Linked DNA regions of Pelodiscus sinensis. The protein of the gene in region 2 interacts with the protein of the main gene of each other region in a biochemical or structural test. Links are inferred from orthologs where the notes say so. Each region holds a gene or a part of one and is shown on either strand. Other genes may lie near its edges. The genes, in order: UBE2H and TRIM72.

The links.
Region 1: the proteins of TRIM72 (region 2) and UBE2H form a complex in vitro, tested with the Homo sapiens proteins (2 studies listed by BioGRID). The link is inferred for Pelodiscus sinensis from reciprocal best matches to the Homo sapiens genes TRIM72 and UBE2H.

What each region holds. Positions count from the first base shown.
Region 1 is NC_134711.1:4,002,831-4,010,278, forward strand, and holds the start of UBE2H (ubiquitin-conjugating enzyme E2 H), read left to right. Parts: upstream 1-4,346; 5' UTR 4,347-4,584; coding exon 4,585-4,637; intron 4,638-7,448. UniProt on the Homo sapiens protein: Accepts ubiquitin from the E1 complex and catalyzes its covalent attachment to other proteins. E2 ubiquitin conjugating enzyme that transfers ubiquitin to MAEA, a core component of the CTLH E3 ubiquitin-protein ligase complex.
Region 2 is NC_134714.1:131,223,157-131,230,353, forward strand, and holds the start of TRIM72 (tripartite motif-containing protein 72), read right to left. Parts: upstream 3,154-7,197; 5' UTR 3,016-3,153; intron 1-3,015. Other genes in the region: uncharacterized protein LOC102458195, read left to right, coding at 5,274-5,436. UniProt on the Homo sapiens protein: Muscle-specific E3 ubiquitin-protein ligase that plays a central role in cell membrane repair by nucleating the assembly of the repair machinery at injury sites.

The DNA.
Region 1 (7,448 bases), on a different chromosome or scaffold from region 2:
AGCTTATTTTGAAATTTGGTGCTTGCTGTCTCCACAGCACCCTCATGGAACGAGGGCTACAGGGACATCGGACTAGAGAGCCTGTTATTTCAAAATCAATTTTGAAATAACGGGCTGGTTCAAAAGATGTGGAACAGCTATTTCGGGATCCCTCTGGCATCCCAAAGTAGCACCGTAGTCTAGACGTGTCCTAAGTGTTTCGTGGGGACCACTTTACAGCCGCAACATCGCAAGATATTTTAACAAATCTGTGGTCACGGTGTGCACCTTCACACTTGTCACCTAGCTGCACACCAGACCTTCCGTCCGTGTCCACACTTAAAAAGCGACAGCTGCTCTCCTGTAGCACTTCAGTGTAATCACTTACAACAGCAATGGAGGGGTCACCCGTCACTATAGTTAATCCAAGTTTAATGGAAAGTTTGATCAGAGGTTAGGTCCTTTTAACTATGTCCTTTCAGGTGTGGATTTTTCACCTCTCCGAGAGAGGCGGTTCTGTACATGTAAGTTCAGTGTAGACCAGCCCTCAAAGCTCACAGGGACGGCTGGAACAAGAGCTCAGACCCACTTGCTTTAAGCGCACCAACCCCCACAACCTGAGCTAAGGAGAGTCTCAATTAGCGATCTAGTGCCACCGAATGCGCAGTACTGACTCCATCCGAACTTGGAGGTGTGCTCATGAACTTGGCAGCGTAATTTGATTGTCTTCACACAATATTTTACGTTTCCATAGGAACTTTTTCCCCAGCAGTCTCAACATACTTTACAAACATTCATTAACTTCAGCGCACAGTTCCCGGCTCCAGAAGGCAGGTAAGTATTAGTTACTATATTTTCCAGGTGAGTAAACTGAGGCACGGGTAAACAATCAGACCAAAGTCCATTACCGAGGTAAGGGTAGAAACTCAGAGTTCCAACGCTCATACCTTAAACTACACAGCTTTCTTTCCAGTTTGGGATATTAGCTAGAATGTGATTAATTTTGCAGTAGGGTCAATTGGCAAAGTTCATTTATCGGTAACATGTGACTCCCCTCTGTGTCCTTGATCCTTTTCTGCTAACAGCCTGTATATAAAGGGTTGGACAGGCCCAAGAATACATTTCCCAGATCGCAACACTCTAAGGTCATACAAGGTCGAACAGCTGTTTGCTCCCATACACTGCTCAGTTGTACCTGATTCTGAGAGATATCGCTCATTCCAGCCTCCCGCTCGATCGGCGTCTCTAGCCTGGGGACCCTGCATTACTCCTCTGTAAATTATTGACAGCTGGAAAAGCAGAAACCAGAAACTGAGCTGGTGGAAAATGTGATAAACCTCCATTTGTTGCACGTTAACAAATGCTGAAAGCCAGCTATTGGAGCTGCTTGGCTCCCGGTGCCCTGTGCTGAGCCTCTGATATTCACAGGCCAACTCCTGGCTTTGCTCCACTTGGCAGGAAGGGACATGTTAACCCTATGTGGCCAGGGGACACTGCCACGAGACACTGCACCTTATTTATACTGGAAATTGCCTAGCTGCTAAGAGGGCTGGGTCCTCCTGAAGGAGCTCCTATTCCCAAACAGCCTTGGGGGTCACCCGTCTGCCCATGCTGAATCCATCCTCCCTCTCTGTGCAGGTGTAACCCGCACACATTGGCTGTGTCTAGACTGGCAAGTTTTTCCGCAAAATCAGATGATTTTGCGGAAAAACTTGCCAGCTGTCTACTATTCGGGCAAAAGTCTTTTTCCAAAAGACTTTTGCGCAAAAGGGCCTGTGTAGACAGCATAGTACTGTTTTCCGCAAAAAAGCCCCAATGGCGAAAATGGCGATCGGGGCTTTTTTGCGGAAAACCGCGTCTAGATTGGCCACCGACGCTTTTCTGCAAAAAGTGCTTTTGCGGAAAAGCATCCTGCCAATCTAGACGCGATTTTTCCAAAAATGCTTTTAACGGAAAACTTTTCCGTTAAAAGCATTTCCGGAAAATCATGCCAGTGTAGACGTAGCCCTAGTGTGGTTCACGCAGGTTCAACCAGATACAAGGCTGACCAGGTTGACCACCCTGCCCTGTCTTCAAGTCCCTCCAGTGGCTCAGCCTTGCCTTCATTTCTGTTTCCCCAGTCATAGCTTTGCAGAGCCCAGCTGCCACTTAAATCTCATCTTGCCCCTTTGCTTTGCCAGGGATGCTCCCTTCCTTTTCTTCTCCCCTTCTGCTTTCTCCTGTGCCTACGGTTGCCAGGTGTCTGGTTTTAGCCTGGACTGTCCGTTATTCGGATCCAGCGTCTGGTACAAAAACAGAAAATACTGGACATGTGAAATGCCCAGCATTTCCTCCTGTTTCCCTCAGACGGACAATTTTCCCCTGCCGCATCTGGTGGGGATGGTGGGGAGTGAGGAACTGAGAGAACAGCAGGGCCATTTAAAGGTACAGCTGTGGGTTTTTTTTTTTTTTTTTTTTTTTTTGCTCAACAACGTTGGTTTCGCCCTTTTTCTTTTCTCAACAGGATTTTTCCCCGGTGTTTTTTTGTTTTTGTTTTTTTGGGGGGAGGGTGTTCGGTATTTTTTTGTTAAACCATCTGGCAACCCTACCTGTGTCAGCTCCTGTCTATGAAGTGATCTTGCTTTGGTCAGTGCCTAGGTTCCCAGCTGCCTCCACTAAATCCATATCTTCCATAAGGCCCAGCAGCACTGACCAAAATCAGCATAACGCCAGCACCACAAATATCCGTGCACAAAAATAGCAAGCCAAGTCATCCCTTCACTCAAAGCATCTGTCTTTTGGTTGTTTTTCTGATTGTAAACTCCGCTTGGGCAGGGACTCTGTCTTTGACTCAGACATACAGTTGTTTCATTATGATGATGTGGCACTGAAAAAAAAATCATGTCAGGACCCTCACAAAACACCACAATCCACACTGCAAATGTAAATGATAAAGATCCACAGCAAATCATTGCCTGCAGGGCAGAAATGAATTTGAAACATGAGAATATCAATTAAAGGTCTAGAGAAGTTTTCTCTAACCCATCTTTTTCATAATATGGCTAGTATAAGGATACATTGCAAAGAACTCAGAAAACATTTTTGTAAGGTCCTGAAACAAATTAAACTGAAAACCAAGTGACGAGACTCTCCCCCATGTCAAGATGTGCACAGACGCATTCCTGAATTTCTTGTGAGGTGTGAATACAATGAGTATTGACTTCCCAGTAATACCCAGCTTGCAACAAGATGTTGCTGTATTTATTATGCCTCACAAAAACTGTGTGAAGAAGGTGTGTGTAAAAACTGATTTTTACAGAAAACTTAAGATGCATTAAACGTTTACAAAAGTAGAGAGAGGGTTTTAACAAAAAACCCCAAACTGTGCAGCATCCTGTTGAGAGACAAAACAAATATGGGAGTAAAGAGAGTTTGGCAGAAGTGAAGTTTACAAACATGGGAATGTCTCTGCTGTAGCCTCGTTTTACAGATGGGGCACAAAGTGGCTAAGTGACTTGCCAAAGGGCAGAGTGGGTATAGATGTTGGGAATCTTAACCCCACCCTTCGAATGGATTCAGGGGCCCTAGCTCCTTCTCTAATCAACCCACACCACTATCAGCTAAGCAGAACATAGGCATGGGTGAAAGCCGTAAGTGCATTTAGATGAAGTCTGGGCCAGCAGACCATCCTTGTGCAGACAGAAGGTGGATGAGGTAACGTCTTTTAGGGGCTCAGCTTGTCAGCTGGTGTAAGAGACAAATGTCTGAGCTGCTCCTCTTTAGGTGTCAAATTTACATACAGCTGGCAACATGCCAGGGGAAACCAGCTCTCTCCCTACATTTTTAGGTCAAGGGGCGTTGGCATCCACAAATGCAGAAGATCCCTTGGCCCTATTAAGGAGACCATGAGGGGCGAGGCCTCCACCCGGCAGCCTGCCTCCACCAGCTAGACCCAGGGTGTGCGCCCAGTTCTGAAGCAGTAGCCACTGCTATAGCGAACTAGCCCCGTGATTCCGAAAAAACCGGTCGGACTCATGGAACGTGGCTTCGGAAAGAGGAAAGACCTTCGGAACTTTGTGATTATTCGTATTATTATAATTATTCTATGAAAAAAAATTGGGTTTTTTATTTAAAAAATGTTTTTTGTTTTTTTTTGAGTTTTCATTGTTCAAGCCAACTAGCCAGTTAGCCACGTGGGGCGAGTGGCCAGCGCGTGGGGCACTCGACCCTACTCCAGGGCTTGCTGGGAAGGAGCGGCGGCGGCCTACAACTCCCGTCAGCCAGCGCGGGGCGGGGCGGGGCGGCGTGAGCGACGCGCCGGCGTCACGCGCCGCGGCGCCAATCGGGGCGGGCCCGGGCAGTGAGGTCACTGTGGGTGACGTCAGGGGCCCAGAGAGAGGCTCTCCGGCAGCGGCGACGGGAGCGGGGCGCGGGGCTGAGGGGAGCGCGAGCCGGAGCGGGGGGAGGCAGGAGCGGCCAGGCCCCGCAGGGCGCAGCGGCGGCAGCAGGAGGGGGCTCGCCCGCGGCTCGGCGCCCGGCGCCCCCCCCCCCGGGGAGTCCCCCCCCAGCCCGGAGCAGCCCGGGCTCTGACAGCCCGAGAGGAGGAGCCGGGCAGCCGGGGGCACCATGTCCTCCCCCAGCCCGGGCAAGAGGCGGATGGACACCGACGTGGTCAAGCTGTATCCTTCCTGCGCGGGGAGACCCGCCCCCCCGTGTAGGGGGCGAGGGGAGACCCCCCCACACCTTCTGTGGGGGGAGACCCCCCCTCCTGCCCTGTGTGTGTCTGAGACCCTTCCCCCCTCCTTCCAGTGGGGGGGGGGGGAGAGACCCCTCCCCCCTCCTTCCAGTGGGGGGGGGGGGAGAGACCCCTCCCCCCTCCTTCCAGTGGGGGGGGGGGGAGAGACCCCTCCCCCCTCCTTCCAGTGGGGGGGGGGGAGAGACCCCTCCCCCCTCCTTCCAGTGGGGGGGGGGAGAGACCCTTCCCCCCTCCTTCCAGTGGGGGGGGGGTGGGAGAGACCCTTCCCCCCTCCTTCCAGTGGGGGGGGGGTGGGAGAGACCCTTCCCCCCTCCTTCCAGTGGGGGGGGGGTGGGAGAAGAGAGACCCTCCCCTGTCCTCCTGTGTGAAGTATGGGGTGAGAGGGAGACAAGAGAGAGACCCTCTATCCTCCCGTGTGGGGTGGGAAGGAGGAGAGAGAGAGGACCCCCCCCATCCTGGGGCGGGAAGAAGAGAGAGGTTCTCCATCCTCTTGTGTGTGGGGGAGGGGGAGAGGGAGACCTTCTAATGGGGGGGGGGGAGAAAAGCTTTCCCCATTTGACAGTGTGGGGAGGGGAGAGATCCCTCATCCCCTGGGTGGGGGAGAGAAGCCCCTGTGAGGAAAATATCCTGGGGAAAAGGCCCTCAGCCCAGAGGAGAGTGACATCCCTAATCCTCCAGTGATGTACAGCTGTCAGGGCCTGTCCTGCTGATATCTTGTGGAGAAGGAGAGCGTGAACCCCCATGAAACCAGCTACCAGGAGGAAGAGGGTGAGCCTCCCCTAGATCAGCCCCTCTGGGGGAGCCCCCTGCAGCCACCTACTCAACATCAACTCTTCCCAGTCTGCTGAATAGAGGCCTCCTGAAAAAGCAGACTGTCTTCCCTCCCTACCCCCAGTCCTGGGGATTTCAGTGCTCTCAAATACCGAATCTATCTCCCAGCCTCAGCTTACACCCCAGACTAAGGACTGGTGCCCCTTTAAACTATAGAGAGCCTGGGGTATAAGAGGCTACCCCACCCACCGCCTATCCTGGTGGGAGATTAGTACCTTTAAAGTGGGAGCATGGGGCAGAATCCTTTGGTTCAACCTAAGGCAACTCCTTTTCCTTCCCCTGCTATTGTGACTCTTCCTCCTCCTCCCCCCCACCCCTATCGCAGGTTAAGGGAAAGAAACCCCCTCCTCCCATAGATATGACAGCTGGTAGTCAGTCTTCGAAGGGAATTTTTAAGGAATATTCTCCCCCCCTTCCAGATGGCACCCCCACTCCTGACTCCCCTCTTTCCCCCAGCCCTCTTCCCTGGAATGTAGTTCAGCAGCTTGGAGTGGTTAGAAGGGGGTCTCAGAGAATGGAGAGGTCTTGTCTAATAGCCACAGCCCAGAGAAAGCCTTTTGTGATGTTTATTATTATTTACTCCATGGTTTCAGCCTGCCATTCCCAAAGCTTCTGGTGCCAGCTTAGGGACTTGTGTTTTCTTTTCTTTTTTTGGGGGGGGTGGGGGGGAGTCTGGTTTGCAACAAACCAAAAATAAGGTGCTATGGAGTGGGGGAAAAAGGGGTTCCAGAGCAATTGAAAAGTCTCTCTCTCCCTTCCCTTCCCGCTAGAGGTTTTGTTTATGTAACACTCCTGTTTAGGGTAGGCTTTTTTCTTTCCTAATGGATCTATTTTTATTTTTCTCAGTATTTTTATTCTCACCCCTCATAGGATGGTGTAGCCCTCACTTTCGCTGTCTGGAGTGTGGGTGGCTATTGAAAAAACATTGGGAATTCGATTATAGAATTGTTTTATTAATAGTTTTGTTTACGTGGTGGTGGTGGTGGGGAGAATTGACTTAACTGACTACAATGCTTTCAGATATATTTACTCCCCCAGGAGAATTTGGGGGTGAAAGATCTGGTTTTTTTGGTTGTGGTAGGAAGGTTGGGGGTTATAAACAGATCTGATTTAGTTTCTAGAGGCAGAGATAAACAAACTTATTTGGATTTTGTGTCTTAAAAGAAGGGGTGAAATCAACAGTGCTAATGTCTGCGGTATGAGAACAGTTTACCCTAGGAAACTGTGTTAATGTTTTTGTATGTTTTTATACAAAGTTGCTCTTTATTTTTAAGGTTGTTTATAGCAAATAGGAAATGACTGCCGATCATGGTACTATCTGAGCTATTTTTATTCCGGAGTTTAGAATTACAACATGTCATACCCTCCCAAATGCAAATTTCAGTTGATGGTTAATTTCACCAGGAGGAGGTTTGAAAACTCCAGCTGTTTAGTGGAAATAATCTTCATTGTGTGTAATTTTTTAAAGAGGACTGTGCTGGAGTGGAGATGAGGCCCATTATGACCTGATGCATTTTCTACCCCACTTCTCTTTTCCTGCTTGGTAGCTGACATCTAGACTGACTACAGCATTTTAGGAGACAAAGAGCAGGTTTTTTGGTATATTTATTGCTTGGTGGTACACGAAAAGAAGCAAATAGGTTGATATTCCTTCCAATCCCAGTTAATTTCTCATCTCCTGGTCTATTTTCCCTGACAAAAGAATCTAGAGGTGCTTTAAAACTGTAGCTCTTATTATTGTTACCCCAGTGCTCTTGGTATTTGACACAGAGGGATAGGTCAGTTTGTGTCTTGTGGACCGTAAAGTTAGGAAGTTGTGTCGAATGGCTATTTCTACCTTCCTCCGGCTTTTTGTTTGTCTGGCCTTCCTTCATATCTCTAGGATGAATTCAGAGTGTAGGCC
Region 2 (7,197 bases):
AAAAATACCAGACACACTTGACATTCCATCCCAGTCTACAGCCCATCTGAGTTAGGAAATCCTGGGCCTTTCTGTTGCCTCATTTCTAGTTTCTCAGTGTGTTTCCCGAACAGAAGCTCAGCTACGGGACTGTCCGGTTCAACACCAGACCCCCGGCAACCCTGACCCTTCGTGCTCCCCCCACATGCTGCCCTGGGAGTGGGACGGGGTGTCCAAACCCCACCCCGGGCAAGGAGGGGTTAAGGGATTATTTTGGGCTCAGCCCGCCCCGCCCTGCCGCTCCTGCAGGGAACGCTCCAGCTGCAATGGCCAGGTGGGGCTTAGCCCCCTTGTGGCAGCGCTAGGGGGGGGCAGGTCTGATTCTGCCGTCGGTGGAGGTGAAAGTGGGGGCGCCATGGCACGCAGCTCCGGCACGGGCTGGCTGAGCTGGGGTAAAAGCAAGGCGCTGTTGAAAGGGCGGGCGGGGACCCGGGTTGCAATAGGACAGCGCCTGTATGAAATGTGAACTTACTGTCACTGCTGGCCGCCGGTAGCTCCAGTGGCGCAGTGGGAAGCTAAAGGCTCTGACTCCGCAGGGAGACACTGGCTGTTCCCACCCTTGCTTGTAAGCACAGGTTAGACGAACGGCTGCCGGGGTGGAGGGGGTGTTGACGTTTTACATGCTCCTGCCTCAGAACAGGGGCTGGAAAGGATCAGCCCAGCAACATCACGGAGCCTTTAGCTGCATCTTGGGTGCCAGAGCCCTGGTCCTCAGCGTGGGGCCTGCCAGTCTGTCTGGGGCTGCCGGCCCTGCTGCTCAATCCCGCCCCTGCCTCTGCGGTGTGCAGGGGAGAGGGGATGGGGGTGCTCGGGGGAGTGGGCAGCAGGAGGTGGGGAAGAGGCAGGGCAGGGACATGGAAGGAGTGGACAATTGGGGGAAGGTGGGGGCTGAGTGGGGCTTAAAATGAGAAGCCATTTTGGGGGTCCTCAAAGAATTTAAATCCAATTGGAGGTGCCCCGGTTGCTAATATTTGAGAACCAGGGTTCTGTGTTGGTCACCACAGTCGTAATCCCCCAACTCTTATCGAGCACTTTTTGACAGTCTAGCTCAGTGAGCTTTATCAAAGAGAATGGCAGCCTTAGACCCATTTTACAGGTGGGAAAAGTGAGGCAAGGGACGTCATTTGTCCCCATCCTCCCGCAGGCCTGGGACCGAAATTGTCCACCTGTGCCCTGGGCCTGGCTGTGTCCCAGGCCAGCATGCTAGCCACTAGGCCACACTGCACAATGCTTGGCAGTGTTATAGTTGTGGTGCTACCCTGCCATTTTGCTGCAGGGCACTTTTGCTGTGGGGGCTGCGTACTGCCTGGGGCGAAAGGGCTGGACTGGGAGGCAGGAGACCCGCTGCTATTTCCAGCGGTGCTGCGTGAAGACGCTCGGCAAGTCACTTCCCTGTGCCTCAGTTTCCCTAGCCATAAAATTATCCTAATCGCCCTTAGTCGAGTGCCCTGAGATCGAATGAAGGAGAGAGCTGGGGATTCACATTTGTATGTGTTTTATTTTTTATATATTTTACTATATTAATTTGGGAATGGCCGACAGGGGAGGGGATACACGAGGATTCCCGGTTCTGTTCCCTCCCTCTGGGGCACCAGGCATTGGCTGCTGTCGGCAGACAGGACACTAAGCTCCATGGGCCTTTGCTGACCCGGTAGGTTCTGTGGGGCTGCGTTGCCTGGGACCTGGGGGTGCCCTCGGTGTCTGAGATGTCGCAGGGAATTATGTTGCCTGCCAGACATGCAGCGTGGACTTGATTCCCGGCCACTGTCTCAGCTGCCTCGCCTTGCACGTGTGGTGAATTCGGGGCGTGCCGAGCTGCGTCGCACGGGGCCCCGTGCCCTGCTGCGTGTGCGGCCGCACTGCGCTGCATTGGAGCTGCCAAGGTGGCCTGGCAGGGGTCCCTCTGCCTTGTGGTGCACTGCGTAGGGAGCTGGGGGGGGGCATTAGCAGAGGCTCAGGATGAGGCACGGGGTGGGTGTGTGTGGGGGGGTTATATTTGGGGCATCTCCAGCCTGTGCTATCCAGGGGGTCGGGCTAAGGGCCCTTCTGGCCAGGGGGCTCTGTGGAGCTTGTGCCGTTGCTCCGGAGGGGAGCGGCCTGCAAGACGGAGCCCCCCCCCCCCCCTCCCGACGGGGCTGAATGCCAGTGCCAGGCCACATCTGAGAATCAGGAAAAGCCGCTTCCCGAGGGGCGTGAGCAGCTGGGTCTCACCGTGGCCTCCCCCACCTGTCCACAGCGCTGTTGGGAATAAGGGGTAGAGGGGGGCTGGGAGGAGGCGGAAGCAGGAGGGAGGGATCCCTAATGGGTAGCGATGGGCGAGGCCATCCCCCCCCCCGACACCAAAGGGGGCAGGGACAGCTTCTCCATGGGGCGGGAATGTCGGCTGAAGGTTGGGAGGGGGAAGGGAGTGGACTGGGAGGCAGAAGAGCCACAAACAGAGAGAGACGCCAAAGAACCATTTTAGCCCCTGCCCAGAGCGACTTTTTAACCCAAACCAGCCCCCCCAGCTCACCCCCTTCTCCAGCCCACCCCCGCTTTCCCTGCCACAGGCTCTCCCCGCAGACAAGCTGTCCCTCAGCTCCAGCTCCGGGCCCAGGGGTTAAAACAACAGGCACGAGAGGAGAAGAGAGGCAGGAGCTCTGGGGGCAGGCGTGGGATAGCGCAGGGGCCGGCCACAGAGACGCAGCCAGGCAGACACAGAAGGAGGCTTGCGGAGCGTTTCTGGTCCCTGCCCAGAGAGAGCGAATTCAGTCCAGCTCGCTCCCGGTTACCCCAAAGGGAAGCATCCGAGCCCGTCTCCCCGCCAGGCCCTCTGACCTTTCCCGGTCCTGCACTCGTTAGAAAGATGACGCCTCCCTTTGAGTTTCCCCCCTGCCCTCTAAGCCTGGCACCCCGGTCACTACAGGCTGCATAGAGCCCTGGGAGCAAAGTGAGACCCCCATAGCTCCGGGGGAGAGAAAGCAAGCAGCGTCTTACTGAGCTCAGAGGAGACGGCGGGGGAGCGGTGTCCGGCTGGAGGGCGAGGAGGCGCAGCGATCGGACGGGCACCAGGGAGCAGCTGACTGTGCTAGGATGGGCTCAGCCGCAGCGCGACTGCCCCACAGCCCCTCCCCGCCTCTATATATAGATCAATAATGCGCGGCTGTTCTGGGAAGGACAGGACACCGGCCAATTTTTTGTCTGCAGAGCAGGAGGGGGAGGGCAGGGTGACAGCAAATGGCTCAGGCAGCTGTTGGCGTAGAGAGAGGGGGCTCGCACTCTGCTTGGGGAGCACCCTGCATTCCCCTCCAGGAGCCCGGGGTCCCACTCTCTCCCCTGCACACCGGGGTCTGGGAGTGCCACCCTTCCTCCTGGGAACCAGGGGCTGCGGGAGCCCCCTACCGCAGAGCACCCGCCCTGCTGTTCCGCACGCCGGGGGCTCTCCTGCCTCCGGCTCTGGCAGCCTGGAGTGATTGGGGGAGGAGGGTCAAGCTGGATTTCGCAGCCAGGGTGAGTCGGGGCAGCTGCTTTGGTGCACTTCAGTGGAGCGCTGGGGGCACCTGGACTCGTCCATCTTTGGCTGCAGGGTTGCTCAACTTTCAAACTTCAGAAATCTGGACACTTCCGAACTTCTAGAACCACCCCCGTCCCACCTCTTCCCATGGGCCCTGCCTCTTCCCCAGGCTTTCACCCCTTGCTCCACCTCTTCCCCCAGGCCCCACCTCCTGCTCCGCCTCTTCCCCCAGGCCCCACCTCCTGCTCCGCCTCTTCCCCCAGGCCCCACCCCCTGCTCCGCCTCTCCTCCCAGGCCCCACCCCCTGCTCCGCCTCTTCCCCCAGGCCCCACCTCCTGCTCCGCCTCTCCTCCCAGGCCCCACATCCTGCTCCGCCTCTTCCCCCAGGCCCCACCCCCTGCTCCGCCTCTCCTCCCAGGCCCCACCTCCTGCTCCGCCTCTTCCCCCAGGCCCCACCTCCTGCTCCGCCTCTCCTCCCAGGCCCCACCTCCTGCTCCGCCTCTTCCCCCAGACCCCACCCCCTGCTCCTCCTCGCTTTTCGGGCCCCACCCCCTGCTGCGCCTCTTTCCCCAGAGGTCAGTGCTAATGGAAGCAGGAGCTTTGGAGGGGTCTCCGTGACTAAGTGAGGCCTTGGGGCGGGGCCTTGGTGAGGGACTGGTGGGGCTGTGTGAGCCCTAGCACAGCCTGCTGAGGGGTGAAGGACCAGGACTGGAGTCCGGAGCTCCCTGGGTGCAGCCGTTCTAAGAGGCTCCTCTAAAACTCTTCCACCTGGTGTTGGTGACTGTCTTGCAGCCGGCCGGCCCTGGTCCCGCTCAGGACCAGTTCATACACCTTCCGCATCGTCTCTGGATTCTCCTCCCAGATTCCACATCGGACCATCACTCCCCATCGGGAGTGGCTGACAATCTGATCCTCCAACAGCACGAACCAGGGTTTGTTAATCTGTTTGCTAATATAAATATTCTCCTAATAAATGTCACCACCGTGCTTTCCAGTCTGGATAGTGAGAGATTGCTCACCCAGTCTCAAAATGCAGCCACCTCTAGGGTGAGGCCTGGCTGCAACATTGTACAGCATTAAGAATGGCCACACTGGGTCAGACCAAAGGTCCATCCAGTCCAGTGTCCTGTTTGGGGACAGTGGCCAATACCAGATGCCCCAGAGGGAGAGAACACAACAGGGAATCCCTGCCCTGTCTCCCACCTCCAGAGAAACAGGGGCTGGGGACACCATTCCTACCCATCCTGGCTAATAGCCATTGACGGACCTAACCCCCATGAATCTATCTAGCTTTTTTTTGAACCCTGTTAAAGTTCTAGGCTTCACCACATCCTCTCGCAAGGAGTTCCTACACCTGCAGATTTAACACCCCAATCAGGGTTTACCAAAGGCATGTAAGTGTCCAGCTCCTACTGATTTGGGGTCTGGGCCCTAGACTGTCTGTGAAGGAAGGCTTTTCAGGTTCCTCCCAGGCCCTCTCTTCTGCTGCCAGTGTATAAGGTGACTAGATTACCGCAGTTCCCACATGACAGCCGCTTTAAACCCTGGCCCTGGGACGCTCGCTGAGCGAACTCTCCTGGGGAGCCATGGGCTGAGCCTGCCTCACCAAGGGCTCGGAGTCCGGGGGGGAGGGAGGTTCGAGCTCTGCCTCCTCCTACTCGGCACAGCAGCGACTTCCTGCTCCCGGGCCAGGGTCTGACTCGGTCTCTGCTGCGCTGAGGCCTCTGCCTGGGGCGGCAGCATGGCGCTCAGACCCCAGGGTTCGGGGCTGCCCCAGGGCAAGCCCAAAAAGCCTCAACTCCAGTTGCAGGGGAGCTCTTACGTAGGCGGCCTCCCCGGGAAGGACTTTGGAGCAGAGAAGCCGTTCTCGCAGTTCCAGTCACCGACACTCTTCTCAGCATCTGGTAAGGAGGGATCCAGAGAGGAACTCGGAGCAGGGGGCCAATGCGCTGGCACGGGGGGGGGTTGAGAGCCCCTGAGCTAAACTTCACCCCTTGGACACAACGGAAGCCACAAGTCAGGGGGTGCAGCCACAACCCTCCCCCCCCCCCCCGAGTGTCCCTGGACACGCTCCCTCCCGCTTTCTGGTCTCAGTCAGACTTTTTCCTTGCCACCAAGCCAGCCTCCCTCCGATCTGGATGAATCAGAGTGCAAAGCAGAGGAGGAGAGAGAAGGCGCTGTGGAGCCCAGGGAGAGGAGAAGGGCTCTGCTGGGCAGGCTCCCTTAGACTTTATTTACACACAAACTTGCACCAATTTAATTAACCTGCTGTATTTAAACCATTTAACTGTCCCACACCGCATGCAGCGGTTCTAAGAGACCTTAAACCGGCAGCCTGCGTTACGCAGGGTGCCTGGTGTTGACTGGTGCAGATGATACTCCTGGGGCAGTTCTGCCAGGAGAAGTTAAGCATTCTGTGCGCACTACTTTCACATGTTGCAAAATTCTGCATATTTGATGTGTCAGAATAACACAACATAATCACACCAGTTCTGGTTATTTTGGTTGATTTCTTTCAAGACACCTGTCACCAAGCCAGCCTGTAAGGACACACAAGCAATTCTGTCCAATCTTCTGATAAAGAAACATAACGACTACCTTTGTTTTTGCAGCACAAGGTGGCTGCTTTATAATCTGCTTTCATTATCTCCAGTTTTACACACCCAGAAAGAAAACAAATTCAATCTAACCAGGCCAGCACCTGCAGAAACACAGTGAGAAGTAACTCTAGTGTTCCCAAAGGCATTGGTGGGGTTCACCTGCATTTCGGGGTCTTTGGTTACATCTAAAAGCAAACATCTTCTTGCTTGTAAGAGCCTTCCGTTGAAATCCAGGCAGGCTCTTCCTCTTACGAAATCACTGGCAGCCAGTCAGCTAGTTGATGTAACTGAGCGCTCAGTTTAGAGATTTAAAACAACAGGGCTGTGTCTACACTGGGCCACTTATTCCGGAAAATCAGCCGCTTTTCCGGAATAAGCTGCGAGCTGTCTACACTGGCCCTTGAATTTCCCGAAAAGCAACGATGCTCTACTGTACAAAATCAGCCGCTATTCCAGAAAAACTATTCTGCTACCGCTCGGGCATAAGTCCTTATTCCGGAACACTGTTCTGGAAAAGGGCCAGTGTAGACAGCCCAGTAGTCTTTTCTGGAAAAGCGCGTCTACATTGGCCACAGATGCTTTTCCGGAAAAAGGGCTTTTCCGGAAAAGCAGCCTGCCAATGTAGACGCTCCTTATCCGGAAAAACTGAAAACGGAATAGTATTCAATTTTAAGCATTTCCAGAAATTCATGCCAGTGTAGACCCAGCCCAGGTGAATGAAACCCTGTTACAGAAAAATACAAGCCCTGAGAATAGCAAAACACACATGACTCGTTCCCCAGGCAGGCATATTTTTTTTAAAAAGTTGGTGAGTCACACTTTTCAGATAATAGAAACTAACACAGTTTGGCTAAAATCAAGCAACACTCAAAATCTATATCTCTGTTTTTAAAAAGGTAGGTGTGTCTGTCTGTCCGTCCATTGTGAGTCCATTTGTTCAAGAACTAACTCCTCTTAAGCACTAAGAGCTAGGCTACCACAGTGGGTATGTCAAGCAGCTGGCATGTTCCCCTGCAAGCTGGAGAGGGGACTGTTTTCTGAGGCCTGCTCAGCCCCCCGTGTAAA